4 linked regions of the Arabidopsis thaliana genome follow. The protein of the gene in region 2 interacts with the protein of the main gene of each other region in a pairwise test. Each region holds a gene or a part of one and is shown on either strand. Other genes may lie near its edges. The genes, in order: UMAMIT8, AT1G11940, BASS2 and AT3G42725.

Region 1 (7,546 bases), on a different chromosome or scaffold from region 2:
ATTATTGACTTCTTAAAGCATAAAAAGAGTTTCTAAGCATAACAAAGTATGTGTGTGTGAATTATGTTGGTTGGGTTAGTTGGAGGAATTGTAATGGCAGAATCGGTTGAAGTGTCGAGGTTGGAATTATATAAACGATTGTTTTAGTTGCATTGATTTTAATTGGGTGTTGAGGTTTTAATGCTGAAATGTCATTTTTAACGGTTAAACGTTTAAATAACTTGATACTCATGAGTTTTTATTAGTGGTTCGAGTGTTTGAACAATAAAAACTAAACAACATATAATCATAACATTTATATAATTGTACTTAGGTTGGTATCCTTTAACATACGATGGTGTCGACACATAAGTGAATGACTACACAATGATGATTGGAAAGGTCCAAGTAAGTTGAACCACTAGACCACCATAAATCCAAATTTCCGGTTTGGTTATTTAGTTTTTTTCTTAAAGAAAAATTTATTTTAAAAATAGAGAAGTATATGTTTTACATGACTTCAACATGTTTTGCATTCGGTTCCACTTTGTTTAGCTGAATTGAGAACTCTTGGCTGTCATTATTTTGTTTGCAGCAGAGAGATTATACTCATTGCTGTTATAGTCTCATTTCAAATGAAAGAAAAAGACAAAAAAGTTTTTAAAAAAATGTAATTGTTTGCGAGTGTGATAAGTGTCTTAATGTTTTGAATTTTCGAACCGGGACTGAATTTTGTTTATGATTGCAAGTTCAACAAACTTGACATTCATACTTAAATCTCTATTTAGTTTTACTTTAATTTCTACGTAATGGGTTAATGATAAGAACTATAAAATGATTACCATTGGTTCAATGATAGTATAGTATTCTGATTTAATTACCAATAATACAGATGATACTAATAAATGTGATAGCTTCTCCGATTCGAAAAACTTACTTATGTGTTTTGGTTATCCAAAACAAGTTGGTTTATACTTTCTAAGCAATTAGAAGTTACATAATTATTTGTCGTATTAACTATAGTAACAGTTCTTGTTTTGGTTCATACAAAACATGTGGATGTCAAAACAGTAAATATGACTACTAATAAAAAAAAACTAATACTTTTTTAACAGAGGAAAATACCATGTATTAAAAATGTTATTTCTTTGATAAAGTGTATGAAAGATGTTGCATAGTCACACAGACGTAGCAGTAGTCAAGAATCCATTAAATTGATAATATACCTTTGGTAATCATGGTTTTATTGAAAAGGTGACAAAGAATACATATGTTAACATTACCAGCAAGGATTTGAATTTGAGTTGTTGGAACTTTAATACATAGTTGAGTAAAGAAGAGGCTTACACAATGGAATCTATCGTGTTAACTACTTAGCTTTGCTTCAATCTCAATTTTCAGTAACTACGTAACTCTTCAGATGCAAACAAAAAAATCTCTGTTCAGTGTTTAATATTAGTTAACTTTTCATCCAAATAAATATATTAATTGACTATAAGAAAGAAATCGTGGAAACCTCTTGGTCTAATGGTTGACCAAAAGTTCATTAATGCTTTTACATCCAGAAGTCTAATGTTCCAGTTCCAGCTACTGCGATTTATTAGCAAATTTGCAGATTAATGGAAGCACGTATGCATGATATCTACAACGAAGTACAATTATAGTCGTTCGCCAAGATTTTATGTAGAGAAGATATTGAAGGTATCCATCAAGCGCATGGAGAAAGAGAAGAAGATATCGACATTGATGGAGGAATTGTAATCCTTCTTTTGTCCCCAACACACATGCCTGTGAAATTTTTAAAACTTGAGAGCAATACACCATTTGAAACAAAGTGATGAAAACCTTTAGGAGGACGAAACTAAGTTACCATTTAAGCCAACATCCCATCCCTTAATGACTTTACCATGACCTGCATGTAACAACAACTTCATAAGTATCACGTACCAATCACATAACTCCATCCCTTAATTGCCATATCACATAAGTATTAAAAGGTGCTTTTCCAATGGTGGAATCGAAGATCTTCCCGTTCTCTTGAAGCTTTCCGATATAGCGGACACTAACCTGCTTGGTCATCTGCTATGTAATGACAATTCTATAAATACCCTGACTTGCGTTTTTTTGTTTCTACCTTGTTTGTCATTATCTAACTCCATCTCCACACCTGACTTATACTCTGGCTCAGCTTTTCTTTGGGAATAGGAAAACAGTCTTTGGCGTGTATTTGCTTAGTTCCATTCGCATTCTCATATTAGGTAGGTTTATCTTCATCTTCTAACTCAACGGTAATTTTTATTTATATATAAATATACCTTCACATTGAACAACTTTTTACATAACATCGTTTAGGCCCTTTTTCTTCGCCCTGTATGTATGTGATGTTTTTTTTATATCCAACTATTTTAGTATCACACACGAACATATACTGTAGTCTACAGCCTACTACATGTATATCTAACCGAATTATCTGTAAAGTAAAATTGTCTTACTTCTTTAAACCTAAACTAAATTCACAAGAACATTAAGAAGAAGAAAAAAAAAAGACTTTGAACTAAAGCAAGAGAGGCTTCTGAAGATCAAACTCTGTTCTAAGCAAACTTTCTTCATCATCTTGTTTCATTTCATCTATTTCTTCACAATCCTCTTTTCCTTTAGCCCACAGAACGAAGTAGAGTCCTCCGAACATCAACGCCATTCCCGCAAAGCTAATTTGACAGAGAAAAACAAACAAGAAAGAAGATAAATGACTTCTCTTTCTGTCTAAAAGATCATACAATGAATGCGAAAAGCTGCAAAAATGTACCTTCCTAGGTTGAAACTCTCTTCCATGGTAAAAGCAGAGACAACAACACATACCACAGTTGCAATTGGACTAAAGAGAGACACAATCACTGGTCCTTTCCTCTTAATCACCCATGCATTGAAGCTTAACCCTCCTCCACTCACCAACCCTCCCTAGAAAAAAAACAAAAACATTTTCAACACATCCAAATGTTGCCAACCATATATGATTTATGACGTACCAGTATTGCGTATCCCACAAGGTGGCCGAGACCGATTACTGATGCACTTCCCATTTCCATACTTCCCTTAAGAGCATACTGCAAAGCTACTGTGGTGATCCCACCCATCAAAGATACCATCGAGAACATTGATATAGGCGCCGGAAACTCGGCTAGTATGGATGCCTAATTAGGACGATCAAAGTGATTTCACAAGCAAAGAATCAGATTAATTAGCACAACCGGATATATGATAGCTCTAGGGCTAAGAAGGGGTATAAGGTGAAACCTGAAGGACAATACTAGAGGACAAGCCGCAAATGGCAAGGAGGAGATAGAGGCAACCTAAGATCTTGTCCTTGTCCACAACGACTTCGTCAGGGACAATAGGTATAGTCTTAACCGAGCTTAAAGTAGCGGTAGTACTGTGCATTAAGCTCATAATGAGAGCTCCCATCACACACAACACTGTCCCTCCCATCTTAACTCTACTATACATACAACTTAGCTTCACTTTCTCCATCCTTAACAATTACAATTTATTCAAATAACACATTAATGAAAGCTCTAATCTTCAAACACTAAACAGATTAGATTAACACAAAAGTAAAAGATTTACCCAGCAGCCCAAGCAATGACAAAAATGAAAGCAGGGCAGAGATTAGGCATAGCTGTAGCCATTGAAGCAGAGGTGTGTTTCATTCCTTCCAAGAATAACCCCTGGAACAGAGTCACTCTGTTTCAAACACAACTTCTCTCTTAATTAATCCCTTGTTATGAATTTTTAATTCTTCTCCTTCTCTTTAACGTATAGAAGAAGCAAGGTAAGCATCTATTAATCAAAACATGCAGAAATAAATAAAAAGAGGAGTTTTTACCCAGCAAGAGCAACCAAAACTAGTTTTATCTTCAACTTGAAACTTAGACTTCTAGGCCAAAGCTTCCTACAAATACACACCACAAAAATCCAAATTTTTATTAGAAAAAGAATGTAGAATAAAGTTCGAAACAGAGATTTTGTAAATTAAAAGAAAGAAGAAGATACCTTTCAAGGAGAAAAGCGAGAGGGGTGATGAGAAGAACTGATGCAAAGGTGCATAAGATAACGATAAGAAGTGGGTCAATTCCGAGAGACAGCAACTGACTCAGTAGCTCCGAGTTTCCGGCGTAAATCACCTGAGCTCCGGCCAATCCTCCGATTATTCCTGCTTCTATTAACGTCTCTCTCTTCATCATTTTTTCAACACAAAAAAAACACGAAGAAAATAAAAAGAATAATAACGGACAAATCAGTTGGAACCCATTTGGTAACCGAACAGAAGGATTCGATTTTGTGGGGGAACTAAAAAAGCAGAGAAACACTAATTAAGTTTTTGGTTTTGTTGTTGTTGATAAATGAAAATAGAAAAGATGCTTTGTTTGTGATCTCTCTTTTTGGTAATGTGTAATGCTTGAAGTTGAAACTTTCTCTATCTTTCACTTCTTGCTTTTAAAGACATGTGTCCATTACATTGCATTGGTTTTATTATGGAGTGTCTCGCCATTATAGCTTTTTGGGGAAGCGCAGATTTTAATTTATTTTTAGTCTAAAACGGTGATTATTTTTATAACACATAGAGTCCTCAAATTTTGGTGCAATGGATTTAATATGTATGAAATAAGACAAAACAAAAATTTGAGAGCGGTTAGCTTAATTTGTTAAGAAATAAATATTTCGGTGAGTCTGATATTTCTTAAATAGAACAAATAAATAAATAAATAAAATTCGCCAAATCGGCTAGGCAAAAATTTAAGATTATTCAAATTGTCAAGATTTTTATTTGGGAAGTTGCCACTATATTAATAAAATTTGGAATATAAAACCATAGTTTTGATTGGTAAAATAACGTAATAAAAATAGCAAAATTATAAAACAAGATTCTATTTATTTAAGACTAAAGAATAATATGTTTATTTTGTCAGTAAAGTCATTTAAAAAAAGGTGGAATGATCGATCATAAATCGCCCTCACACAAATTTATGTTAAAGATGAAATTCTGTACTACAGTGAAGTTTAAAAACATGCAGAGTATGAAAAAGAAAGATAAACCAAAAAGAAAGGAGAAGAAGGAAAAAAAGACAGATGCAATAAACTCCGTCAGATTCGGGGACCTTGGCCTTTTCTCGGGGGAGTAACAAAAATATTTATCAGTGTTCTTCTTTTGTTTGTATTCTTATTTTTGGATATATAATACGACATCTTACCATCTTCTCCTTTATTCGTTTTACGTATCTGACTATCTGTTCACTCTTTACTTCCTTCTTTTTTTCTTGCATGCAAATATGGAATGTCTTCATATTTGTATTTGTCACAGTCTCACAGATAAATCATATGTGTATGCCATGTGCCTACCTACCTATAATCATTTTTATTGGTAAAAAAAGCTTCCTATTCTAATATCCTTGTTAATGCTAATGAGATGGTTTAGTGATCTGTTTTCATACCGAAATGTTTTAGTTATTTAACCCAAAACACCAAAGGATGGTTTAGTGATTCGTTTTCACACCGAAATAGTTTTATGATCAAAATATTTTCTAGGGATCAGTTTTAACTAGAAAACTAGACTAGAGTCTATAACGAATTAGTTATTTTATAATAAATGATGTGCCTATGAAAGATTTTTAATTGGAGATGTATAATATTGGAGATGTTGTGTGGAGTGTAAAATATGGTAGGTGAAGCGTAAGATAAGAAAAAATGAGGAGTGTAAGAAAGAAAAGAGCAAAAGTGGGGATGCTTACACGTCAACAATCCTCAGTCTCTTTTCCAATGACTTGTGAAGCGTGTTATCGTCTCTCTTTTCTCCCCCTCTTTTTTTCCCAACAAATATAATATGCGATCTATCTAAATATATTAAGTTAAGAGTTTAATCTTTATCCACATACATTTTTTTCTTTTGTAACATCTGTTATCCATATCATGAAAATTTAATGCGTTTAAAAGCTTAGAAACATTTCACGCTGACCAAAAAAAAGAAAAGTTCACGCTCAAAACACTTAAGACTTAGTTTTATAGACCCTAACTAGTATCAAAACCCCTTGGTGTGAAATAAAAGGCATCTTGAATATGCAGAAACTCATATTAGCTCCTAAACCGGTTCAAAACATTCTAATGACTAATGAGTTGTGCCACGTACGAACAGACAAAAGGTTACAGTCTCAAGTTCTGAAGTCTGTGAACATACATAGTCTTCTCACGTGCCCACGCGTCTACAACTACAACCGTCGCCAACTCACGTGACTTTTTACCTCTTCTTTTTTTTTTTAATTTTTTTTTAAACCACTTTTTGCTTCTTCATACTACGAATAATCATGGTAAAGCTTTATGAAAGATTATAAAAACCATAGGACAAAGAAAACAAAATTTCGAACATCTTAACCAGTTTTGTTCTAAATTATGATATTACAACAATAATTTAAATTGTTTAAACCCTTCTCAATGAAATGTCCTTCTTCTCGTGGGATTGTCCTTCGATATCTTCTCAAAAATGCTTTTTCCTTTTACCTACGCTTATATCTGCACGATAAAAGTAGAAAATACCGAGTTAAACCAACAAATTACAATTTATGTTACTGGTAAATTTCATGTTTATGATGAAATGTTTCTTACCTGGCTTTGCTCTTGAATGAGTTCTTCGACTTCGTCCGAGGTTTTGCTGCAGCCGCGGCACCGCCTCTGCCCTGTTTCTTCTCGCCCATATCACTCTTGAACAGATCTTTCATCTCTTCACCACGAGGCTGGTTTCTTGGTTTACTCCGGCTTTGTTTCTTGTCCGGCTTTGGTCTCTCCATCTTACCGGAATCAATTGCTCTCTGTTTTGCTTTCACCGCTTTTGCTCTCATGTAACCAAGATCCTTTAGTGTCAATCCCTTCTTATCTGTCTCCTGTTTTTTCTTGTCTTTCCCCTGAAAAAAAACACACATTTAAAATCAATACAATGTTTGTCATCCCGGCGAGAGAGAGAGAGAGAGAGAGAGAGAGAGAGAGAGAGAGAGAGAGAGAGTGATGTGTATCTCTGAAATACTTACTCTTGATCTTCCTCTCTTTTCGTCTCCTTCTTCGTCTTCTTCCTCTTCTTCTCCTTCGTTATCTTCTAGCATCTCTCTGGCAGCTTCTAGCTTTCTACGTTTTTTCCTAGGAAGATTCTTCTGTACTTGCATGGTCAAGAGAATTGTAAGTTCTCTAGGAAGAAGCAATCAACACTAAACTAGAACGATAATGCAACTGAATAGTGAAGAGCTTCTTGATAAACAGACCTCGCGTTCACGTTTTCTCTTCTCCTTCATCTTGAGGTCCTCTGCTCTATCAGCACTAACTAGTTCGCCTCCAGCAGGGTTCCCTGCAGAATCCTATTCAGAGAAAGTATAAAGAATGATTCAGACAAGTGTATCCCTCTCTCTACAACAACAACCTCAGGAAATTAAAAGAACACCTTTTCAGCCTGTGCCACGAGCTTCTTCTCCTTCTCTGTCATGAACCAAGTCCTTTTTGGGCGTGCATATATTTCATCTCTGTGCTCAAG
Region 2 (7,964 bases):
GATCATTGAGAAGGCACCTCAGGTTCTCTCTGCTTGCTATGATTTCTACGAATCCTTTAAAAATTGAATCTTTTGGATTAGAAAAGTTCTGAATTTATATTGATACATTGAAATTTGCAGCTTCCAGAAGATATAGAGTGGCATTTCATTGGGAATTTGCAGAGCAACAAAGTGAAGCCTTTGCTATGTAAATTGACTTTGCTATTTCAAAGTCCTCATCTTTAGTTTTTTTGTATTGAGTTACTAAATTGGGTGTAAAACTCCACACTTGAGTTCTATTCTTAATTCTTTGGTTTGATCAGCTGGTGTTCCTAACCTTGTGACCGTGGAAAGTGTTGATGATGAAAAGGTAAAAGTTTCTCTTTTGTATATTTAAAGAGAAATTGGTTTGTTAAATGTTCTAGAGCTCTTTCGAGGTGTTAGATAACGAAAACATCATGATCTTTGGGTAAGAATACTACAATTATCCAGATAGTGGACTCTATTGTTGAACTTTTGTGGGTAGTGATATTAAAGATGGATTGAGAGTTTGATAAGTGATCAAACCACTTGAGGAATATACGTGTGACAGTCCACCGGTTTTGTTTATTTGCATATGCTTTATAGATTGCAAATATGCTTGATCGTGTGGTTGGTAATATCGGAAGAAAGCCCTTGAAGGTATTTGTCCAAGTGAATACCAGTGGTGAAGACTGTAAGAATCTGGAATTTCTTCTTCAACATTTATCTCAAATGTTTTCCCACTTTCACTTTTCTTAAAGCTATCTTACATGATCGTATTCACCAAAACTTTCAGCTAAATTCGGCGTGGAACCCTCGGGATGCGTAGGACTGGCGAAACACGTGAAGGAAGCTTGCTCGAATCTTGAGTTTTCTGGTTTGATGACAATAGGGATGGCTGATTACACTTCAACCCCAGAGAATTTCAAGGTTTATATAATCTGGTTTGAACCTATAATGTTTGGTAATATCGTGAGATGCTTAAAAGAGCTCACTTTCGTTTCTTATTGTAAGTGTAGTTGCTTGCGAAATGCAGAAGTGAAGTGTGTAAGGAGCTTGGAATACCGGAGGAGCAATGTGAGCTATCTATGGGGATGTCTGGTGACTTTGAACTAGCAGTAAGTTGTTGTGATTGTTGATTCGAGTGAAAAATTCTTTCTGTTCAAAATGTTAAAGAGTTTTCTTTACGGTTTGGTGAGTTGCAGATTGAACTGGGAAGCACAAATGTGAGAATAGGATCTACTATTTTCGGGGCGAGAGAGTATCCTAAGAAGTAATGATGTAAACTACTGAGTGATGAGATTGATTCTAAGTTTGAACATCAAAACCAGTTTCAGGGAAGAATAAGAGCTTAGGTTTTAATGTTGAAATCATGTAGATCTTCTCTCTTCTTTTGTTTTGCATTGTATTTGGTGATGTTGCTTGTAAGTTGTAACCAAGGTACATTATTACTATTTTTCTAATTTCATGGATATAAACACATGAAAGAAGAATAAAGAATCTTGTCTTTGCTACGTTACTAGTGAGAAGTAGTTAAAAGGGTGTCACAACCACTTGTTACTATTCTTTTGGTTTGAGAGCTCTGCTAACTAAGATTTTAATACTTCTTTTGTGTTATGAAACACTGAAAGCAAAATCCACTACATAGTACAGATGCTTCAAAGTTCAAACTTCAAACTGAGCTTCTCATCATTTCAATTTTTCAGACCCAAGGTGATCATTTTTATTGGACTCTGCATTTAACTATATGGTTACCATTAAGTTACCATATATATTATAAAAAAAAATTACCATACATCTCAAAATTAATCACAATCACTCATTTATATACAAAATTCCTTTTAAATAAGTATGAGCATTTTTGTTTTCTAAAAATATTTAGTGTGAGAGGATAATGGGTTTTAAGCCCAAATGAAAATAAAAGCCTAAAGAGAAAACAAGAAGATTGCAGGAGGAGGAGGAGGAGTTGAGTTTCTGATGAGAAGTTTTCGTTAATGGAAGTTTTCCTTTTTTTATGATTGCTAGGCTTAGCTCGAGTCGGTTGGGAATTTTTTTAATGGTTAAGATTTTTGAACTTAAAAGATTCAGAGAGATTTTTATAAAAATGACAATGCCAATACTATGGATTTGGAATAATTGCATTGTTGTAGCCCAATTAAAAAAATGTTTTTTTTAAGCTAATTTTAGTGAACAAATTTTTTCAAAAAATGTGGCCCAATTGAGCTCAACTACCGTCCAACGGCTCGTCGTTTGACTCATTTCTATGGAATCATCAGATTTGCAAAAGAAGCTTAGAATTCCGACGAACTAGGCCCAGTCCGCCCATAAAGCAACCAAAACATGTGCTTTACGCTACCAACTATAAAGAAAAATGTAAGGTCACTTGTTTAAAAAGTTTGTTTTGGTTAAGTGTTTATGTACTTCATTATTGTGTGTTCGAGTCCTTGAAAATTTTAGTTTTTTTTTAACAATTTCCAGGAGAATGAGTAAAAGACATCAATCCAGAGTAGAATTTGCTATTAACATATTCTATTAATCGAAGCCAGTTTCTTCAGACATATACACATAGAAATTTTAACACCCAAACACAAGATTATCCATGAAGAATGATTATTAGTTTTTACTAAGCGTCATATATAATCATAAACCATTAAACCTCATGAGGGATGTTTGTAATGTATCAATGCTATTCCTACTCTATGTATACGCTCTGTTGCTTGACCTACTTGCTTACACTGTTGCAAAGTTATAAGGTTTTGTTTGCTGATGATCCTATTAGTCCTTCACTCACAATGCGCATAGCAGCTTCATTCGTGAACTTCCTTGCAAAGAGAAAGCATGGGACGGGTTTCGAATCCGCCTTACACCATTCCGTTCGAGATTCAGACTCGTAATAGACATGGTCTATTTTCTGTCCCGAGAAAAGCAAAAGAACTAGAGAGATTACTTAGGGATTCATTCGGTTGTGATATTAATCCTCTGAACAAAAAGATTGTACCTTTATTTCTTTTATTTCCTCAGGGCCGGAGTTTTCCAATGTGAAAGTGACGGGATGCCAAGATTTGGCTTCATATTTTGTACCTGAAACGTTCCATACAGTGTATGTCACTGTTCTTCGTTCCATTTCACTCTCTAGTCCTTGCATCTGAAATGGTCAGTTTGTAATACATTAACAATATGGAACTTTTTAGATGGAAACAAAAATGAGAGAGATGTGTATCAGATATGATGGTCACCGTAAGCAATGTTTGCACATAGTGTTCATCGGGGATGCAGTTGCGTCGCTTCTGTTTCTGAGTTCACATCAAACGTAATAAAAGTTTCCCCATTTGTTTAATAAAGAAAGAGGTTAATCAATGGAGAGAAGTATTCATAGACTACAGAAAAGACACTGTTGAGATTGTTTTGAAACCAACACAAAGAATCAACATAAACATTCAGGCTGGTATTAAATGAAAAATACCAACTTTGAAATAGCACTTACAAGAAACAACCATGCCTCATTGGTACCTAAAGGTGGACATCTCTGCAAATCGAAAGAGAAATCAAGAAGTAAGTTATTGTTTCTTCAGCAACAAAGAATCAAGATTGAAATTAAAGTCATGATCATAAAGCTTAATCTTTACCTTGCAGAATTCCTTAAAAACTGGGAATACGATACCATCATTTACAATGACCTCTGCATGACTTCTGATCAAAGCTATCCACTGCAATAGATAAAACTAAGATGAGATTAAAAACTTCATGAACTTTAAAAGGTCCCTATCCTCCTAATGCTTAAATTTTCACAAGAAACTCAGGCTTCAAAAATCTTGGTAGCAATGTTCATTTCCTAAGCAAGAAAATGAAGATACCTGGGATCCTTTTCGCCATTTCTCTTCAGGTATGACAGGAGACATTTTCACACTGTACCGTGTCTCTTTAGTATGAAGAAAACTGCCAATAGAGAGCAACAAACATAGTTATCAACATCTAGACAACTCCTCTTATAATACACCAGTTATCAGGCCATATATATCAAGTATGAAGTACTAAGAAACCTCATAAATTCAGACTTTCAATCTACCTATCCACAAAACTCCTCGGTGAAGAGATAAGATATTTGTATATATAGCCAAAGTCATATAATGGAGCACATCTGCAAAACAGAAAGTAGATGAAAATGAAATAAGTCCGTACAAACCACAAATGTGCTCAAAGTCAGATGCAATAAGTGGTCAGGCATAAGATGATCTGAAAGAGTAATGCTGAAAGAAGCAAACCTGTCAGAGAGAAGAACAAATCTTTGATTGGAGTGATCCTCTAAAGCAGATGCAAGCAACAATCTTTCTGCTTCAATCATGCTTGATTCTCCCCATACTACCTATAACCATAACAACACCACCCTAAGTTTCACTATAAAAAAACATCAAATGGAGAAATTCTCATGAACACTCACCTTAATGCTATTGTTCAATTGGCGATTATAGAAATACTGTGATCGTGTAGTTTCTTCATTGAACACGAAACCAGGTACTGAATGTATATAAATTGAGAAATTCGCATGATCCACTCCCTGCAAAATCACCAGAATCAGCAATTTTTTCGAAATTTAGAATAACGGACAAGTATTAATAGGACTAAGAATCTTTTTTGACCTTGAAGAATCTATCCCACATAAAATCAAGTGGGAGATCACGGCGAGCTAAGAAAAGGAAAGCGAGCTTGGGACGATCACCGGAGTATTTGTGAAGCGGTGTCTGAGATCTCGCGACGGAGAGTGGAAACGACAATGTCGTGAAGGAATTGTACTGTAGTTGGATTCGAAGAAGAGCAAGAAGGCAAAGCGCGACGGAGAAAGCGATTACGAGTTTCCATCCCAGCCACACGACGCCGCCGCGACGGGACAATGGAGGCGGAATCTGCGGCTGTGATTTCTTCGTCATTGTACTACGATCACTCACCGTCGTACGATCAACATTCGAGTTAGAGAAACGAACAATCACAAGTCTTTTTAGGGTTTTTGAAGTCAATAAATTTCTCAGGAGAGAAACGGAAACTGAAGAATTGCAAATTACAACATTTTGGATTTTGAGAGAAAGAGAGAAAGAAAGGTAGAATGATGTTGATAGTTCGACGTATAAACTTGTAAACGACGTCGTAAGCCACGTACACGTTTTAAGTTAGTTGGGACCCACGTTAAATTAGAACATCATTAAATTGTTGTCCGAAATTGAAATTGTCAGAAAATGGTATGAAAATTATACAATTTGACTAGGAATATTAATTATTGTATTTCCTTCTATACAATTAGAAAAAAAAAAAAAATACCTTAAAACAAAACCTTTGGAAATTAATGTATTAAGTCATTTTAAAACCTTTGAAAACAAAACAATCCATATTTACTGCAGTAAAAATTTGCAAGCAACAACTGAACCAATTGTATTTGCTACTATGAATCTATGATGCTCTCATATCATAAACTTTCATTTGCTCTCAAAATGATGTAAAGATACAAAACTATACAAAAGAAGCTTACATCAAATATTCATTCATATGCCAAAACAGACCGGAAAAGGAAAAGTTACATCAAAATCCCATTTGAAAAAAAGGAAATCATTCTTTTCAAGAGACACTTGTCTCTTTTACATACATATATCACAGCAAAAGCCAACTACAATAGCCATGGCTTTAACAATTCTACAAAATCTGCTGTTAATCCTACAACAACAAAGCTATAGAGCTTTTAGCTGCGATCTAGCAATAATGTCTCCACTTCTTTCAGAGCTTGTTCAACTGCATAGATCACCATCTTTTTTATCTGTTCACATGGCAAAGATTAAAACAAGATTCAACTACAAACAAAACTGTATCCATTGACAGAAGTTGCTAATCCAAAATTGAAAATATCAGAAAAAGAATCACCTCAAGTTTGTCTTCTCTGGCTTTATGGTTCTTAGGGAGTTGTCGAAACTCATCAGTCAAACGGAGACACTCATCGATGTTTTCAGGGGAAACAAAATCAACAGCTACCTTTGTGCACGACTGTATCAAAATCCATAATACAAGTTAAAGATAATGAGAAAAAGTTTAGTTAATAGGACAGCTTCCATTCAAATAATAACCTTGAGATTCCGAACTTGATGAGGACAACCTGCTGGAATAAACACTGCTTCTCCTAGCTTTTGCACAAATGTCCATGGCTCAATCCCTTTAGTTCAAACAAACAAACACAAAAACGTAAGAATACAATGTCGGTAAGTGACAGTTACTACAGTTACAAGTAACCATACCAAATTCTGCCTTGAGTTTTCTTTTATGCTCCACGGTTAAGAAATATGACTGATCATGTATTGGATGATACACCTAACATAAAGAATCCTATCAGCACAATAACCTCTAAGACTCGGAACTGAAAACGTTTTGTGGATTATTTCTTACCTTTGTAACACGAGAGCAATAAGTATGTCTGAATTCTATGCAATGCTTCCTTAGATACTCTTCAAGCTTAGGAACATCTTCTCTTTTAAAGATGTCCCAAAGTGCACCACTTGTTTCATCATAAACCACAATCTCATCACTCACAACCTCTTCTTCCTCTAAACCATTTTGCTCCTGAAGCTCTTTCTCATTCTGTTGCTTATGTTTCTGTTTCAAATCTGCAATTGCAGACCTTTGCTCCTCACTTAGTGTTACTTCAGCAGTATGCATCAGAATATTAACCTACAAAAACAAAAAACCGTTATACACCTGAGAAACCGTATTATTATTTAACAGTACTAAGTAACAATTCTGAAACTTACAGCATCTGACATATCACAGTGAAGCTTAGTGACTGAATCTCCTCTACCGAGCTCATCTGAAGTCCCATATGCAACATAAGTTTTTGGACCAAGATCTGGTTTAAGAAGTCCTTCAGGAAGTTTTGTAGCAATGTTGAGAATTCCTGATCTAGGATCGCTGTATTCTTGAAATGGTAATGCGGAAATGAACTCATCGCAGTGACGAGGTAAAAGGTTTTCAAACTTGTCTGAAGGAGGCCAATCCTTCAGCTTCAGCATCTCAGGCCAGAAGTTTTCATATGTTCTTCCTTTGCTATATCCTTCAAAGAAACATAGAGTATTTATCTTCACCTGAAATAACAAGAAACAAAATGAGCTTTATAACCTCTTATACAGCTATAGAAACTTTATAAGAAAATGAGTTTCTACCTCACAATTAGCTAAACAATCGATAGCTTTGACATCAGACATATTAGAGCTAATTGCTGAATCAACATTCTCACATAAAGCCCGCCACATCACCATTGGCTCCCAGCTTAAACCAGCTGTGTTGTTAAGAGCATTTCGAACAATCACTGGTTCACCTTTGGACCAATGCTCTTGGAAATGCAGAAGTTCTTCTTGCTTCAGGACATCCAAAGAATCAGGAGAATAAAGGTAATTGTCACTAGATCCGTCCCTCGAAGCTGCCTTCCTCTTCATACTACTCATATCAGAAGAACATCTACAATATGACATTGGCGGTTTGATACTATAAGAGGCTAAGAATGTTTCTGCCTTTTGCTCCAAATCTGACATCCAAGTCACTGGTAAGATTCGCTTAAGCTCCAGCACAGAGTCCCCGCAACCTCCTAGCTCTTTTGGCGCACACCGTATGCTTCCATTTTCATCAGCATTCCACTTGATGGATGGAGTTTTAGTTTCATCCTCGGAAACAGAAGAAGAGCTCGGTTCTGCAGCTTCGCCATGTATATACCGGGTCCCTCTGTACTCGAATTGTAGCTGACATTCCGGGCGGTCAGAAAGCCAACCTCCACGGATCTCTTGGCAACAGTTCAGACACAATTCATATGAACACTTTGGACAGCTTCGATGCAAGTCAACAATTGATGTTGCACAGTGGTTACTAGAGCAACAAAGACATTTCAGTGATATATAAGATAGATGTCATGTAACTCTTCAAACACATGCAACAAAAGGATG
Region 3 (8,910 bases), on a different chromosome or scaffold from region 2:
CATGCGAAACAAAAAGAACTCCCCCTGCTTAGTTCATGATTACAAAAATTTAAGAGCACATCAAACATCGAAAAATACTAACATCAGCTTAATGCCTAATACCAGACTCTGGCTAAAACTATCTAAAGATCAGAAACTTCAAATATGTTGAGCAGCTAAAAGCCTAGTCCGACTTGACCTCAAAACCAAAGCAACAGTATCATACTATCAGAGAAACCATGCATAAAAGATTGAAGATGGAGCCACTGTAAGAAAACTACTTACATAAGGAACCCATTCTGCGTTCCGTCTCCTAAGATGTAGCACCTGAAACTCAGCCACAGGTCTAATTTGATTCCATCTAAGCCGATACAACTCGGTCAAAATACTCGCTCTGCACCTAGAAGAGAACTTCATAGCCTTAAATTTCCCTTTCCCATCCGTTCTAACATTGACAGTAAACTCACCACCAACACTCTCCGTGTTCTCATCTCTTCCAACCAGAGGTGAAGCACCATCAAAATTACTTCCAGTATCATAAGAATTAGTAACAGCAAGAGTATTAGGATCAAGCGTAACAATTCCGCCGCTCGAAATACAAAGGATCCTCTTATAACGACCTCTCCATGAATGTTTAACAACAAGATACCTAGCTAGATACTCCGGCTCTTCCACAGCACCGCCGGTTGTTGAAGCAACGGCACCTCTAGAGACGGAATCCATAGTCCGATCAGATCCAACGGAATCGATAAACTGTAACGTGTTGTTTCGAGGAGGATTATTAAGAAGAGGTCGTAGAAAATCCCAGAATCCTACCCTGGAATGATCGGAAACGCCAGGATAATGGCGGGGGTGGGACTGATTCGCCCCCAGTTCTTTGACTTGGTTATAGCAAAAGCCACCGGGGCTAGAAGGTCCTTTTGCAACAATCGGATCCAAAATGGGAAGCTTAAACCCTAATTTTAGTCGTATGTAAGAAACCTCGGGGAGAAGATGAATGCGATCGATTTGTTCTTGAATACGAAATTTGGTGAATGATGATGATCAGAGGGAAATGAAGCAAATTTTCGATCTGAGATTGGGAGAGAAAGAGTCGTGAATTTGTGTGTTGTTGTTGTTGCTGTTGTTTTTACAGTGTGACGACTTTGTTTGAGAGGGTTAAAGGCTAAAGGCCATTTTTGATTCGGTGTCTCTCCGGTGCAAATGCAATCATCATCAATTCTTCTGTTCCTTTAACGCGGATTAAACGTGTGTCAAAATGTATAATTGTCTAGATTACTATTTCTTTGGCTCTTTCAACAAATGAATTAGCACGTATATTAAAAAAATATGAAAACTAAAAATATTACTAATTAAAAAAAAAACAGAAAATCTATATGGGAAACATTCTACAGTAAAAGAAATGTTAAAATATAGCTAAACATTTTTTACTGTAAACTGAAAACATTTTTTACCACCATTTATACACTGAGACCAGAACTCCAGAAGCATAGTACTATTCCAATCATGTAAAGACCAAAATACAATGAGACTCTTCACCTTATTGAAACCGAGATCAACTGGCCACATTCCAATCAACTTTACATGTTTACTTATGTTAATTGTTGGAAGTTGTGTTTTCATCAGAAAAGGAAACACTCAAATCTAATTTAAAATGAAAATTCACCAAAACCACCTAATGCTAAAAACATCAAAACTTATCATTGCTGACAAAAGACGTATATGAGCTAAGAGAAGTCATGGCTGGAAATGAGGGAGTGCATTGTGAGAGTAGACAGGATTCCGGGAACAACGCTAATCCCAATCTGAAACTTAGATTCAAAATTTGGAGAAGGTGTGCCAAAAAAGATTTGTCCATTAATTGAGAAATAAAAAAAAGGTTGACCACAAAGTTGTCATCATGCACGCCCTTGTTTCTATGTCTCTTAAACACATTTTGTTTCATGTTTTTCAACACAAATTTTGTAATGTTTACTAACATTACAACAAAACAATCACATCGTTTGGAGAAGATGCAAACCGCCTTTCCTACTTCATTTACTCTTTGAAGTCATCCTTGTCATCTGCCGGAATCGGTAGGTTTCTCCAGAACACGGCCAGGCCGCTCCCGCCAAGCTGCAGAATGCCATTGAACATAATTAAACTTAAGGAATTTGCATGTGAACTTTAGTGAAATGGCTATGAAAACTTACCGCCATACAGACAACACTGACTGCAGAAGGAACAGCAACTAGAGGGTTTGTGAAATGCTTTTGTGCAAGCAAGAACCCGAGCGCTGAACTCTGCGGTTTGCAAAGTACACAGATTTTCAAAAAGAAGCCTTAGTAAAGCAAACGGCAATGTATATCTACGGTATAGGAGAAAGTAACTTACTTGCATTCCACATTCTATAGAAATGGTACGCGAAGTGGACTCGCCGAAAGAAAACTTTGAAATCCAATAGCCAATAGCAAAGGCTGCAGCATGAAGGAGTGCCACCGGGAGTATAAGTTGAGCTCCTTGGGTTTTCAAAACATCTGCAACTTGTCCAATCTTTTCAGAAGAGATAAGGTAGTAATCAATACCAATTCCAGTCTCAAAATTCAATAAAAAAAATATATATATCTGGATATATGAACTTACAGGGCTGGCACAGAGCAGAGTAGTCAGAATGACTCCGATTAGAGGCGTCACTGTTATGATCTTAGACGTAAATTTAGGAAAGAACTCATTTGCCAGAACTGCACACAATGCAGAAAAAGACATTAGTCCCTAAGGATATATAAGCACAAATTCATTTTTCCGGAAACACGTAGCACCATACTTACCTCCAATTATGGTAGGAACCAACACTACTTGGAACGTACTAAGAGCAAGTCCCTGACGTAAAAAAATGGATCCATAAGCTTTCGTTGTGGAGGGCTGCAACTATATTCTAATAGAGTTCTTGCGCTTCATTCTACTTTAAATCATTCAATAACTTTTACTGAACCATGATTATTCATATTTTAGCTAAGTGAAATGTATCTTATATTTCATACATAAAAAGAAATGTATCTTATCAATGCAATTTTGAATGAAACGATTCAAAATAGTTATAGAGAAAACTCACAGCAGCGTCAACGGGAACAAGCTGACCAGCAAGAAGCTTAGTAAGAAGAGGAGTCATTATAATAGCCCCAATGGTTGAACACCTAATAAATTAAAGAACAGATAATGTATATGAAATCTGACCAATAAAATTAAAGAACGAAAAGAGAAAGAAGTGAAAATAGAAGGATTACGTTGTCATGAGTACAGAGAGCGCTACATTCCCCTTGGAAATGTAAGTAGCAACGTTTGACGCCTGTCCTCCAGGGCAGCATGAGACTAGGATAAGGCCAGTCGCAAGAGGTGCCGAAAGCTTAAGAGTCTAAAATAAAACACACAGAAAAAGTTTGTATTAGTTGGCTGCTCAACAATTAATGTTAACCAAATGTAGTGTTTCCAAATGCACATAGCATATGTCCATATCAATCCTCTCTACAAGAGAAATCCCTCAAGGAGTAAGTGAGTATGCCAGGAATTGTTTCTACAGTAACTAGAAAGCAAATATTTGATTCAAACGTTTCAAGAAAAAGTGATGTTTGGACATGCAACGACTCTTGGATCTAAGTTAATCAAAGAAAGAATATTCCAATCAACATTTGATTTGGCTAAAGCGTATACAGCCCATAGAAGTAAAAACGGACGAAGAGAACCAATATCTTAAACAAAATAGAATATTGCATAAGCATCCATTTCAGAGAAGCAAATAGAAGTAAATGTGATAGACATTAGTGGAAACATACCATTGCAATGAGAAAACCTAGAATTGGCTTGATCATATATTGAGCAAGAAAACCAACACCCACCTGCAGGAGAAAGACTCTAAACGTTAAACAGGTACTGTATCTAACAGATAGAAAAAACACACCAGTGTTCATTGGCTCTCACCGTCCATGGATTACGTAAACATCTTCTGAAATCTTCAAACGTAAGAGTCAAACCCATGGAAAGCATAAGAAATCCAAGACCTAGAGTAAAGAGATCTGTTTCCAACCATGTAACCTACAAAACTTAAATCTATAAGCCCCAAAAACATAGATTGCTACAGTAAATAAACAATAACAAAGAAGCATAAAAAGCATACCAAGGATGGCTTGAAGATGCCAACAAGTGTTCCCAAAATAACCTGCACAACAAACAAAAACCACATTGCTCCATATCAGTTATCAAACTCACAAAAAGTTTCAAACTTCATCAAAGAAAGGTATAGCATAAGTACCCAAAGTGGAAAAAGGGTTGTCAAAAGCTCAATAATCTTCTCATACTGACTAAGTTCCTTAGGAGTACTCTCAGGTAAGTCACCTGACACACCAGCAGCAGCTTTGCAAACAACCCTCCTGTAAAAATTACAATTTTTAATAAACCCAAATCCTTAAACTTGTTTACACATTCACCAAATTACAATACCTGGAGGAAGTTGCTTCAAGAGCAAAGACAGGGCTAATAGGTTTACTATTCTGAATCCTCAAACTTATCCCAGAGTTACTAACAGAAACTAACTTGGGAAAATCTGAAGAAAAATATATGATTCAGCAAATTGACTCTTAGAAATCTGAAACCAGAGAAGTATAAAGGATAGATACCTAAGTGAGTTTGAGTTCTGGTTGTAGAAGGAACCCACGAGGTGTTGATTCTGCATTGACTTAATCTGCCATCTGTTGGTAAGATTCTGGAAATGGAAGCCATGTTTTGATCAAAAGGGTTTTAGGATGTTGGTGAATCAGAGAAGATGAGTTAGTGACATCTCCAAATGAGGAGGAGACAAAGGGTTTTGTGGAGTGTTGTGAAAGAGAGGAGAGCCACACATTCTTCATCTGCCCCTTTCATCAACAATCCTATCTGGAAAATATCTACTTAACATTTTTGGATCGATTCTACTACAACTACGTCGATGTGTGTGTGTTTTTTTTTTTTTTTCCTGTCGTCATTTCCGATGTGTTTTCGAACAGAACCTAATTGAGATTTGAGTGTTCGGTTAACCAGTCGATTAATAGAAGTGGTCCGATCGGTAACTTTTCCTATTGGTTAGGTACGGTTAATCGAACAATCTTTTAACCATTTTTTCTAATTTTTTAAACTAATATAAACAAATCATATCCAATTTTATAAACTAATACCAAAATTCTTTAAAATTGCTATACAAACCAAATTTTTGTATGGATTTGAGACACATTACCGAACTGAGTTAACTGATAACTGAACCGATCCAAACCGAATTTTTGTTCGGTTAAATTTGGCAGTCTTATCTCCTAACTAGATACTCGAAAAACCAATTATCCAAACCGAACGGTTCGGTTCGCTCAAAAGTCGTATGCCTAAGTTTCACATGTATTAATCAATCATATCTATTGAATTTTTTTTGTTTACAGTCTGATTGTATTGTTAAACAAGATTGTATATTTTTATACATTTTAGTTTATATATGGATAAGATGCACATATTCACTATGGTTCATACCACAGAAATTCTATATTTGAAAACTGTGCTGCAAAAACATATTTATTGATGTTGGAAAAGTCAATCAAGATGTAGAAATATGCTGAAAATATGGTCTATTTCCACCAAATGATTTGCCTCTATTTTTACTGTGAAAATAGCTTTATTAGTTAGATAAACTCATAAAATCAAGACAATCACATGATGAAGTATTGATTTAACACATTTTGAAACACTACACGTTAATTTATTCGACTGAACAAATACAAAGTTTTCATTAAATGTGAGTGCTGAGTTCTGTGACAGTTTGTTTGAATTTTCTGGATAATGATTAGCACCATGCCCCAGCCAAGAAACCCCCATACTTTGTTTGTAACCATTAATATTAATATTTTGGTTGGCGACAGACAAATCTTTGGCCGACGAAGCTGATTTTCACTCTTTCACTGCCAAATTTTGTATGTTTCATCGACATTTTTACATTTGAAAATCTTATGTTTTTGGTTTTGTTGGGGGATATGCATAAATTTCTTAAGAGATAAATAATAAGTAGAATCGTCGAGAGATGTATAATCTAGTTTATGTTTCTTGGCCTCTACTCTACTTTTCTTTCTTTGCATTCTCTTTAAATTCCCATTCTTCGTTTATTTAAAGATGCATGTTCGAATCTTCTCTACTTCTACAAACTAAATGGAATGACATAAGGTTATGTCTCTCTATGAATATTGTTGGATATAAACAAGTTGAACTACAATGATTCAACGCAGGTTGTTCAACACTCACTCTCTCAGCTTTGGCATCTTAAGACACTTTTACGATATATCCACTCCTAGTTTTTAGGAAAAGAACAAGACTGTCACATCTTTCAAAAGTCATCAACCCGCAACCAAACTTTTATTTCATTTGTCTCGTTAGATTAGATGCTTGATGAATTGAGTCTCAATACCTCCTAAAGTGAAGAAAGGTCTCGGGAGGAAACAAAATGACCTTAAGATATTAGATTTTTGGTTGGAAATTTGGAATGTTAAATTTTATTCAACAAAAAATTATCTACATAGTTTGAAAGGAGATTACAACAAGAGAGGACCAATGAAATAAAAGCATTAATAGAATGCTAGCTTAAAATTCAAAGAAATAGATCAGCTATGATCGGCCATGAAACCAAAGAGAATGGATCCGATGGCTAGTCATCAATCTCTTAATGTTAACAAAGAGTAGATCTGATTTTGATCAAAACAGGCCAGACCCGTACTTCGTCATCGTATATCATTATTTTTTATTTTCTGTTTCTTGAAAACAAAAAGAAAAAACTATTTGTAATCACATAACAATTTGTTGAAAGACAAAAAAAAAGAGAGAGAGAGACTAATATCTACTTGTATACTGTTATTTTTTTTTACCATTTCTATTAATTATTTTGTTATTATTCGTTAAAAACTTTATCTATCTTTTATGACCAATAATGATGCATAATTTATTCTAACCAATAACCACTAAACATGTTAGAATTGACTTCATACTTCCATTAATACATGAGTTGAAAATTCTAATCCTAAAATGAAAATGATAGAACCAGACCAGACCAAATTGACTCAAAAGATTCCAGCTCATCTTGATATTTCTAGATTACAAGTCACTCTAAATACATGTTTGAAATGTTCGAAAAAAAACATTGCTATAATTAATTAAAAAACAGTAGAAGGAAAAATTCGGTGAGAAGAAAGTAGAATGTTGCTAGAATCAATAAATTAATCAAAATAGGTACAGTATATAATAGACTAGTATCCCTCTAATCTAACGGTCCATTTATACCTGTCCCCATTACACATGTCAAAGATAATAATACAAAACAAGTATGTAAATTGTAGGTATTTATTAGTTGTGAGAATGACTATTTTATTCTACTCTTTTTCTTTTGGAAAAATCTAACGTGGACATCCGATAATCGACTTGGCTCAGATCGATTTTGAGTAAATTGTTTTAAGGGGTTTAGAATTCATATAGAACCAAAAAACATGCGGTTCGGATCGGTAGTTATTTTACGGTTTGACTATGTTCGGTTATCTCTCAGTTCGGACCGACATATAACCAAATTTTATTGGGTTCGGTTTGAATTAAATATTTGTACATAAACTATGTGGAAAAAAGAACTAAATAATTTGTTCAATCTAATGAATTAGTTTGCAAAAAATATTTACTCTAGACACATATAAGTATGTACATTCATATATTTTAGTTATTTTGAGCCTAATCATAACTAAATTTTCTGGTTTATAAATATAGTTTTGAATATTTGGATTATCTCAAACATAAATATAATTAACATTTTCTGATTTTTATGACATTGACTAATATTTTCTGATATTAAGATATTGATCTCCTTAAATTGTTTTTATCATTCTTTAAAGTTCATTATCTTGTTTGGTTCCAATTTCTTGTACATAAACCATAAATTTGAAATTTCAATTAGAAAAATAATTTCCTTTTATGAGATACAATCATACAATTGTATTTCAAGTAGTTCGAATACTCATTCCGTTTTCGGTTTAGTTCCAAGTTGTTATAAAAGATGAACTACACTATTTGGATGTTTATGATTATCTGGTTCGGTTCGGTATCTCTTAATTCGGTTATTTCGGTTTTAGTAATCCACATAAAACAGACTATAATCTCTTGCATTATATCCACATAGACCTAAATAATAAACAATTTGTTTCTTCCCGCTAAGTGATTATTAATGAGCCTCCCTTCTTCTCAACTGTTATTTCACTTTAACGTACAAAAAAAAACACACACAGAGAGAAAGAGAGAGAGAAAAGTTTCCGCATTAATGGTGGCTTCACCTACCAGTTGTCTAGTGGTGAGAGATTAATGTGACGACGACGACGACACAGAACAAGAGATAGAGGGAGAACAAACCAAAACCAAATCTACACTGCAATCTCTTCCCTCATCTTCTCCAATTATCATCTCTCTCTGATTCTGTTGCGCCGCCGCGGAGAATGTGGAACTCGGCGGAGAACGCATTCTCGCGTTCGACGTCGTTTAAAGACGAAATCGAAGACGAAGAAGAGCTTCGTTGGGCAGCTTTACAACGTCTTCCAACTTATTCACGAATCCGCCGCGGGATTTTCAGAGATATGGTTGGTGAGCCTAAAGAGATCCAAATTGGTAACCTAGAAGCTAGCGAACAACGTCTTCTTCTCGACCGTCTTGTGAATTCCGTTGAAAATGATCCTGAACAGTTCTTCGCTCGTGTTAGGAAGAGATTCGACGCGTAAATCTCTCAATTCTCTCTTACAATTTTAGTTCAAAATCATTCAGTTTTGGTTGAATTGAGTGAATTTTTTTTGAACAGTGTGGATTTGAAATTTCCGAAGATTGAAGTTCGATTTCAGAATCTGATGGTAGAATCATTTGTTCATGTTG
Region 4 (6,351 bases), on a different chromosome or scaffold from region 2:
GATACATTTGGTCTTCCAGCTTCTTGAAAGACCTCCTCATTTCAACAATAAACTTCTCAGGCACAGCCTCTCCAAAACAATCCTCAGCATTTTCTTCATTATCACAGTCCATTTCAGATTTCTGTTTTTTCATAGCAGGTTCTTTAGGGCTCGGGCCCGGTGCATTTCGTTTCCTCTTAACATCTACAATAGACCAGTTGCTGCTATTAATTGGTTTTCTTCTGGGTGAAATAACAAAAAAATTTGTAACCAACCTTTATACTTATACTTACCTATCTCTTCTTGTTGTGGTGGTCGCACCTGCTTTGGTACTCTAGCATAGCCTCCAACCCATTCATCCTCCTGCCACTGGTGCCCATCTATCAACAGTGCCTCAATGTAATCAACCCTTGGATCATCAACTTCATCATCCCATGAAAGAGATGGAGGACAAACACTATCAGCTGGTTTCACAATATAGTTGACCTCAACCTACACAAATAAGTATGTTAACCATAGATAATGTACATTTACTTATTATGTACGTACATACACAATTTAACACACCTCATCAGCAGCCTCACACTCCAAAAAACGAGATGTCCGGATTGCCCGCAGTGAGGCAAGACGATGGATAGACCTCTCAGCAAATGTCCTGTTAGGTACATCATCAGGTCCTAGCTTAGCAATTGATGGGATTGTTTCGAAAGCTAAAAGATGGAGAGCTAATGGGAAGCCATGTAGTGCATAAGACCCTACCAGTAAACCCCTTATTAGTTGTTGAGCATCGTAAGGAGTTTGGAATTTTGCTATCCTCCCCAAAGTACGGGTAAAGGACACCCTTCCCCATGGGTATTTGCAGAAGAACTCCAGGTTCTTCGTCATCTCGACAGTCTTCGAAGTAGCCCTGTTGGGGTTACTGTGGGCCGCTACCACACCGTCTACCAAAATAATAAGAGATAGTGCCAGTTGCTTCCACCCCTCCATGCTTTCCTCCTCCTGCAGCCAGCTCACCAAATCAGCAATTGTTGGAACCGTGTCCCCAAACCTCTCATCGAACAGAGTCTTCCAAACACTCTCACACTCAGGTTTCACACTGATAACATCCTCCACGTCTTTCTTCTTGGGATACTTCCCACATTCCAGCCCAGTTAGGATACTAAATTCTCTTAATCCAAATCTGATTGGATGACCACCGAATACAATCCACATCTCATTCACCTTCTTTGTCACTAACTGACAGCATATTAGTCCAAGGACAAGCTTAGCATTGAAAGATGCCTTGTTTTTGGGTATTTTAAAAAGTTCCCCAAATGGAGAATCGAGAAGAAACTGCATCTCTGGTTTCCCCTTTAGTACATTTGCTATGTTAGAAATGTACTCCGGTTTAGAGTACGCGTTCATCTTTGTCTCGGAAGGGTACCGGTCTATAGCAAAGAGTCTTGGTGGTAACTCTTCAACTGTAAGATCTTCAATCGGAGCAACACTTGGACTACCTGCAATTAAACGTGATATATTGTTAAGCAAACCGAAGTAGTGTACGTACACAGACATTTTCCAGATTATAACTCAAAATCATATTTTTGGCGGAAACAGAGATTTCCAATTCTACTTCTCAATTTTTCATCCTAAAGATATGCTAAATTCCGACTAGTTCTAACCCTTTAATCAAACAAGCTTTACAATTCTGATACACCCAAAGAAAACAAACGGTAAATTAGAGATTCTAACCCAGTTCCTCCGTTGCCTTTGTCGCAGAGCGTTTTCTCTGCGGGGAAACTCTTAATACCCGCTTCTCCTTCCCTGGACCATGCTGCTTCCTCGGGACTTCTTCGTTTGCTTTATTCCCAGCCATAGCTAAAGTTGCTATCTCGCCGGAGGTTCAAATTTCGTCGGAATAAACAGTAACTTTTTCTTGGCTTCGCCGGGAAAAACAGTAACTTTCTCTTCCCCGGATGTGGGAGTTCAGTGACTCAATTCAACTACCCAACAATTCGAAGTTATGTCGAATTTTGAAACAATGGATACTGAATTTCGTTTCGCTTTCTAATTCTCTCTCAAATCTCTCCGTTACTCTCTTCTCTTTTTCTTTTTCTTCGGTTTCTTCGTTTCAGTTTTTTTGTTTTGTCTTTTTCAAAACTGAACCGCATCAACTAAACCGAAACCAACTGCTGTAGGGTTTGGTTTATGCCATCAACTGAACCGATACGAACTGCTGCACGGTTTGGTTTGTGCCATTATTAAGTTTTCCCAAGGTAATTTGGTCCGAAATTGAATGAAAAGACAAACCGTAAAAACCAGTTCTCACTTTGACAAACGGTGAGAGCAAATCTTTTTTCGTCCACTTCTGTAAATTTTTTTTTAATGGTTAGTTTGCTTTTAATATTAAAATATTAAATATATTGGTTTTGAGACACTAAAAAAATAATTATGCAATGAGAATGCTCTAATGGTCTAATCTATGGTTTTCCGTTGATTAATACAAACCTTATTTTTTATTACTTGTGTCAAATTTCACCGTCCTATTTTTGGTGTCTTCAAACATCTTTGTTTTATGTTTACCTTTTTTGTTTTAATTATATTATTAAAGATTGTGTCTTGGTTTGAAGGAAAGAAAAATCTTTAGATGCATATTCTATTGTTTTTAAGCTCTTAATTTTTTATTAGAGTTTCAATTGGCTTAACTACAGTGACAAATAAAAGAATTAATGATCGATTGTGTTTCGACGATGATTTTTTTACCGAAATATATACCCAACGACCAAGGTTGATCTTGGAAATCGTACGATTACTCATCGAACACATGTTGTTTTGCACGCAGTTGTTGACACGTGGGTTTGGATGGAGTCAAGACACAATTTCTTTTGCAGTTAAACAGTAATCTTATAAGCTCATATTGTACCTCAATATTTTTATAATCTTTTTTGGGATTTTTGGTATAGTCTATGTATATGTAAATAAAATATTAAAATATTGCAATTGAGAAAGAAGAAAAATTTAAATATTTTAGATGCTTAAAAAATACAATTGACATAAAAGAGTATTTTATGGACAACATGAAATATATCAAAAATAATAATCCTTTTCAAATTTCTATTCGAGTAGCAATTTAGTTTTAGGTCTTTGAGAAGAAAAGAAAAAAAAAAGCAATTTAGTTTCAGGCATTTATGTAAACAATAATGATAAAATAGTATTACTAATTCAAATATATACGACCGTCATTTTCGTGAGGCTAAAGGTCAAAAATCTATTACAATACTTTTGTGAAGCCCATTATGTCAATATAACCGTTAAACCTCATCATAGCCGTTACATCTTCTCCCCAACGGGCGCTTAGTTTCTTACTTTACCTATATAAAACTTGAAACAAACAAAAAAAACATAATTTCACAAAACATCAATGGCTTCTTTTCACAGAAAGTTATGTTTGTTCCAAAACATTCTCGTATCGTGTCTGAATTTCACTCTCCTCCTCCTCTCCCTCTGTTCTTTCGTACCAATCATTCTTCTTAGAAACCCTCCAACTTCACTCGGTTTAGCCTTCCTCGCAGTCTCACTCGTCTCTCTGATCTCCTCTTTCGGTAGTGCCTCTTCGCACCAATCTCGATCATGTTTCATCGCGCGGATAACGCTTCATGTTTCCTCACTGACGGGTCAGTTTATTGCAGTTTTAATGTTGTTTAGTAGAGAGAAACAGAGTCTTTCTTTGCTGATATCGACTCGAGACCCTAGAGAGGCTAAAGCTTTGGTTAGAGTAGAATGTGGTGTTTTCGTGGCGATGATTCCGTTACAGATAATGGTTCTAGTGCTGGCTTGTTTGTTACATTGTTATTGGGTTAGAGAGTTCGAAGGGTTAGATGTTGAGAGTGAAGATTCTTTTAGAAGAAAATGTAACCGAAGAGTCTCGACCGCTGAAGATGGGACTAGTTCGGATTTAAAGAAAATGGAGTTGGACGAGAAGATGAATGTGAAACATGTTCAGTGGGTTAAAACAGATTTCGAAGGTTAAAGTGTTTTTATGAATCTATAGTTTGTGATTATTGTTCAAACTTCAAAGTTATATTTTATGTCTTAGTTAAGAAAATTATTTATTTGCTGTTACAAAACTTTGTTAGGTTTTCTACAATGTTGTAAGTAATATGTATGGCTACTTGAATTGTCCTAGTAATGGTTGATCTTGTATTTTTTTCTCTCGTACATCCACCATTAGTGGGTAATTTACATACATACACTAGTACAAAGATGCATGTATTTATTTTGCATTCTTTCATAACCATAAGAAAGATGTCTTAATATCATCATACTACGATCCATTAGCTGTTCCTAAGATCTCAGAGATTCAAAGCAAATTATTCGGCTCAACGATCAAACACATCCTAATGTAAAAAGAAGAAGAACCAAAAACAACCTAATCCAAAAGGGAAAAGCACCAAAAACCTAACTAGAAACTCTTTAAGACTGGACTCGGGTTTTGGAAACCTCTACGGTTGTATGTGATACCGTATCTCGTATCAATATCTTGACCTTGGGTGAGGTGGTGGCAAGCTTCAACAGGTTCTTCAATATCTTGAGCTTGGGTGAAGCGGTGGCAAGCTTCAACAGATTCTTCAATATCTTGAGCTTGGGTGAAGCGGTGGCAAGTTCCAATAGATCCTTTGTGAGTTGCACCTTTTGGGGGTCATCCATTGGAGATGACAACTTTCACAACTTCAAGACACTCCATTTCCAGTAAGAAATGGCTAATCTGTTTCAGCACGTGTGCACTTCCTTGATAATGCATGATACTCAATATCTTTACTTGGTTATTTGTGGGAATATGAATCCCCACAAACCGATTTCTTTTAAATATGTAACGATGCAGACCCTGAAACATCAAGAAGAGACACTACTTTAATGTAATGCCAGTCATATTATTAAGTAAGATTTCTTAAGGGTTTGCTTCGTACCGAGAGAACCAGAGTTTTAGGTTTGGAGAACGCTCAGCATAAGTGGCAGAAGCTTCCTAAAACATTTTTTTTAACACGAAAACAATAACTCAAGGAGGTTGTTGACAACAGGTAGTCCACCTTTGCAGCATACTAAAATCACCTGAAATATACACACAAAGAATATTTTTCTTGTTTATAGGCAAAAGATGATGAGAGCATACACTAAAACTGACCTCGACAGCAGAAGAAGTCAGGTGCAGGGTCTTGACGTTGCGTATCCCGCTGATGAGATTCCACATCCCCGTAAACCAGCAGCCCATTTGATTTTTTTGCGAAAGTAATGTCCAGTGTAACTTTGGCAAGTGAATCCAAATTACAATGCAGAGACCCCGGCAGAGTATAATCAGAGTAGTGGAGGTCGACAACGCTCAGTGTGTCAAGTGTAATAATCCAAGAATACGCGGCATAATTATGTTGATATTAGACAACAGACTGCTGGATATGACTTGTGGTGTTTTTGAATGATACCTCTGATGTTAAGTCCTCAAGTGCAGAGCAAGCAGCGAGAACCTTTAGCGCTGGGAGAGATATATCGAAAGGAAAGCTTGACATGCAACATTCTCTTCCCAATGACAACTTAACGAGTGTTGTATTGGTGAAGATTTTAGATGGGAGATCAAGGTACCTGATAGATTATGATTTGGGCCTAATGGGCTGTCGTTTATGGCTTATTGTTTAAAGCCTATTTTCTTTAGTTCTTCTATTTAACATTAGCTTTTGTTTCTGAAACACTTATCGATTATGAACAAAGAAAAGTTTATCTTCTTCATCTCATCTCTTCTTCTTCCTTTCCTTCTCTGAATCTTCTGCTTCCCATCTCTAATTCTTCTACTATCTCATCTCCTTTCTATTACTTAACTTGATAGCCCATTTTGGGTCTTATCAATTGGTGCTTTCATTGAGAGTTGAAATCATGGCTACTCAAGCTGCTCAAGCCATCACAGTCACAGATCTTGAAGCAATACTTGATCGATTCGTTGAGAAGTTAGAAGAGAAGCTCGATTCCGTCGTCCAAAGGCTCCAAGCACAACAAGAGGAGTATCGACGAGGCATCCGTGAAATATTTGCAAAGTTTTTCCCGGTGATACAAGTGACGAACCACCTAAGATGAAGAACCAAGAGCATCACGAGCTCCATCAAGTCATCACCACGAGAGCTGAAGCAAACCCAACAAAAAACCCAGACATCTCTCTTGAGAATTCTGTCGAACACTTGGTGGGCACTGAATTTCTAGAAGCTTCTCCCAATCCTTGGGTCTCAGAGCTTCCAACGGCGATGCATTCTCGCAGGGGAAGAAGAACCCATGTTACACAAGCTCGCAGGAGAGGATTTATTTTTGTTAATCAGAGCCATCATAAGGTTAGAGAAAAGACAACATGAAAGA

What was found.
Region 1: the proteins of AT1G11940 (region 2) and UMAMIT8 interact in a protein complementation assay, tested with the Arabidopsis thaliana proteins (one large-scale study listed by BioGRID).
Region 3: the proteins of AT1G11940 (region 2) and BASS2 interact in a protein complementation assay, tested with the Arabidopsis thaliana proteins (one large-scale study listed by BioGRID).
Region 4: the proteins of AT1G11940 (region 2) and AT3G42725 interact in a protein complementation assay, tested with the Arabidopsis thaliana proteins (one large-scale study listed by BioGRID).

The regions. Positions count from the first base shown.
Region 1 is NC_003075.7:9,355,652-9,363,197, forward strand, and holds UMAMIT8 (nodulin MtN21 /EamA-like transporter family protein), read right to left. Parts: upstream 4,589-7,546; 5' UTR 4,221-4,588; coding exon 4,030-4,220; intron 3,929-4,029; coding exon 3,863-3,928; intron 3,821-3,862; exon of another isoform or gene 3,721-3,820; coding exon 3,604-3,720; intron 3,509-3,603; coding exon 3,274-3,508; intron 3,171-3,273; coding exon 3,006-3,170; coding exon of another isoform or gene 2,961-3,005; exon of another isoform or gene 2,938-2,960; coding exon 2,786-2,937; intron 2,688-2,785; coding exon 2,534-2,687; 3' UTR 2,255-2,533; downstream 1-2,254. Other genes in the region: AT4G16630 (DEA(D/H)-box RNA helicase family protein), read right to left, coding at 6,525-6,540, 6,634-6,929, 7,053-7,172, 7,281-7,373, 7,457-7,546.
Region 2 is NC_003070.9:4,029,022-4,036,985, forward strand, and holds AT1G11940 (Core-2/I-branching beta-1,6-N-acetylglucosaminyltransferase family protein), read right to left. Parts: upstream 5,135-7,964; 5' UTR 4,926-5,134; coding exon 4,638-4,925; intron 4,556-4,637; coding exon 4,439-4,555; intron 4,364-4,438; coding exon 4,263-4,363; intron 4,139-4,262; coding exon 4,067-4,138; intron 3,937-4,066; coding exon 3,855-3,936; intron 3,708-3,854; coding exon 3,627-3,707; intron 3,527-3,626; coding exon 3,485-3,526; coding exon of another isoform or gene 3,449-3,484; exon of another isoform or gene 3,294-3,448; coding exon 3,237-3,293; intron 3,146-3,236; coding exon 2,999-3,145; intron 2,912-2,998; coding exon 2,747-2,911; 3' UTR 2,513-2,746; downstream 1-2,512. Other genes in the region: AT1G11930 (Putative pyridoxal phosphate-dependent enzyme, YBL036C type), read left to right, coding at 1-22, 121-187, 303-349, 607-694, 797-930, 1,020-1,118, 1,200-1,277; AT1G11950 (Transcription factor jumonji (jmjC) domain-containing protein), read right to left, coding at 5,726-5,800, 5,905-6,024, 6,105-6,190, 6,273-6,345, 6,421-6,702, 6,783-7,112, 7,191-7,887.
Region 3 is NC_003071.7:11,473,140-11,482,049, forward strand, and holds BASS2 (Sodium Bile acid symporter family), read right to left. Parts: upstream 5,004-8,910; 5' UTR 4,732-5,003; coding exon 4,629-4,731; intron 4,556-4,628; coding exon 4,453-4,555; intron 4,383-4,452; coding exon 4,265-4,382; intron 4,172-4,264; coding exon 4,130-4,171; intron 4,048-4,129; coding exon 3,934-4,047; intron 3,852-3,933; coding exon 3,789-3,851; intron 3,371-3,788; coding exon 3,243-3,370; intron 3,153-3,242; coding exon 3,071-3,152; intron 2,839-3,070; coding exon 2,787-2,838; intron 2,700-2,786; coding exon 2,602-2,699; intron 2,512-2,601; coding exon 2,353-2,511; intron 2,262-2,352; coding exon 2,172-2,261; intron 2,095-2,171; coding exon 2,017-2,094; 3' UTR 1,613-2,016; downstream 1-1,612. Other genes in the region: GRV2 (DNAJ heat shock N-terminal domain-containing protein), read right to left, coding at 265-702; ABCG32 (pleiotropic drug resistance 4), read left to right, coding at 8,484-8,758, 8,840-8,910.
Region 4 is NC_003074.8:14,840,719-14,847,069, reverse strand, and holds AT3G42725 (Putative membrane lipoprotein), read left to right. Parts: upstream 1-3,351; 5' UTR 3,352-3,379; coding exon 3,380-3,988; 3' UTR 3,989-4,221; downstream 4,222-6,351. Other genes in the region: AT3G42723 (ATP binding / aminoacyl-tRNA ligase/ nucleotide binding protein), read left to right, coding at 5,881-6,048, 6,202-6,326.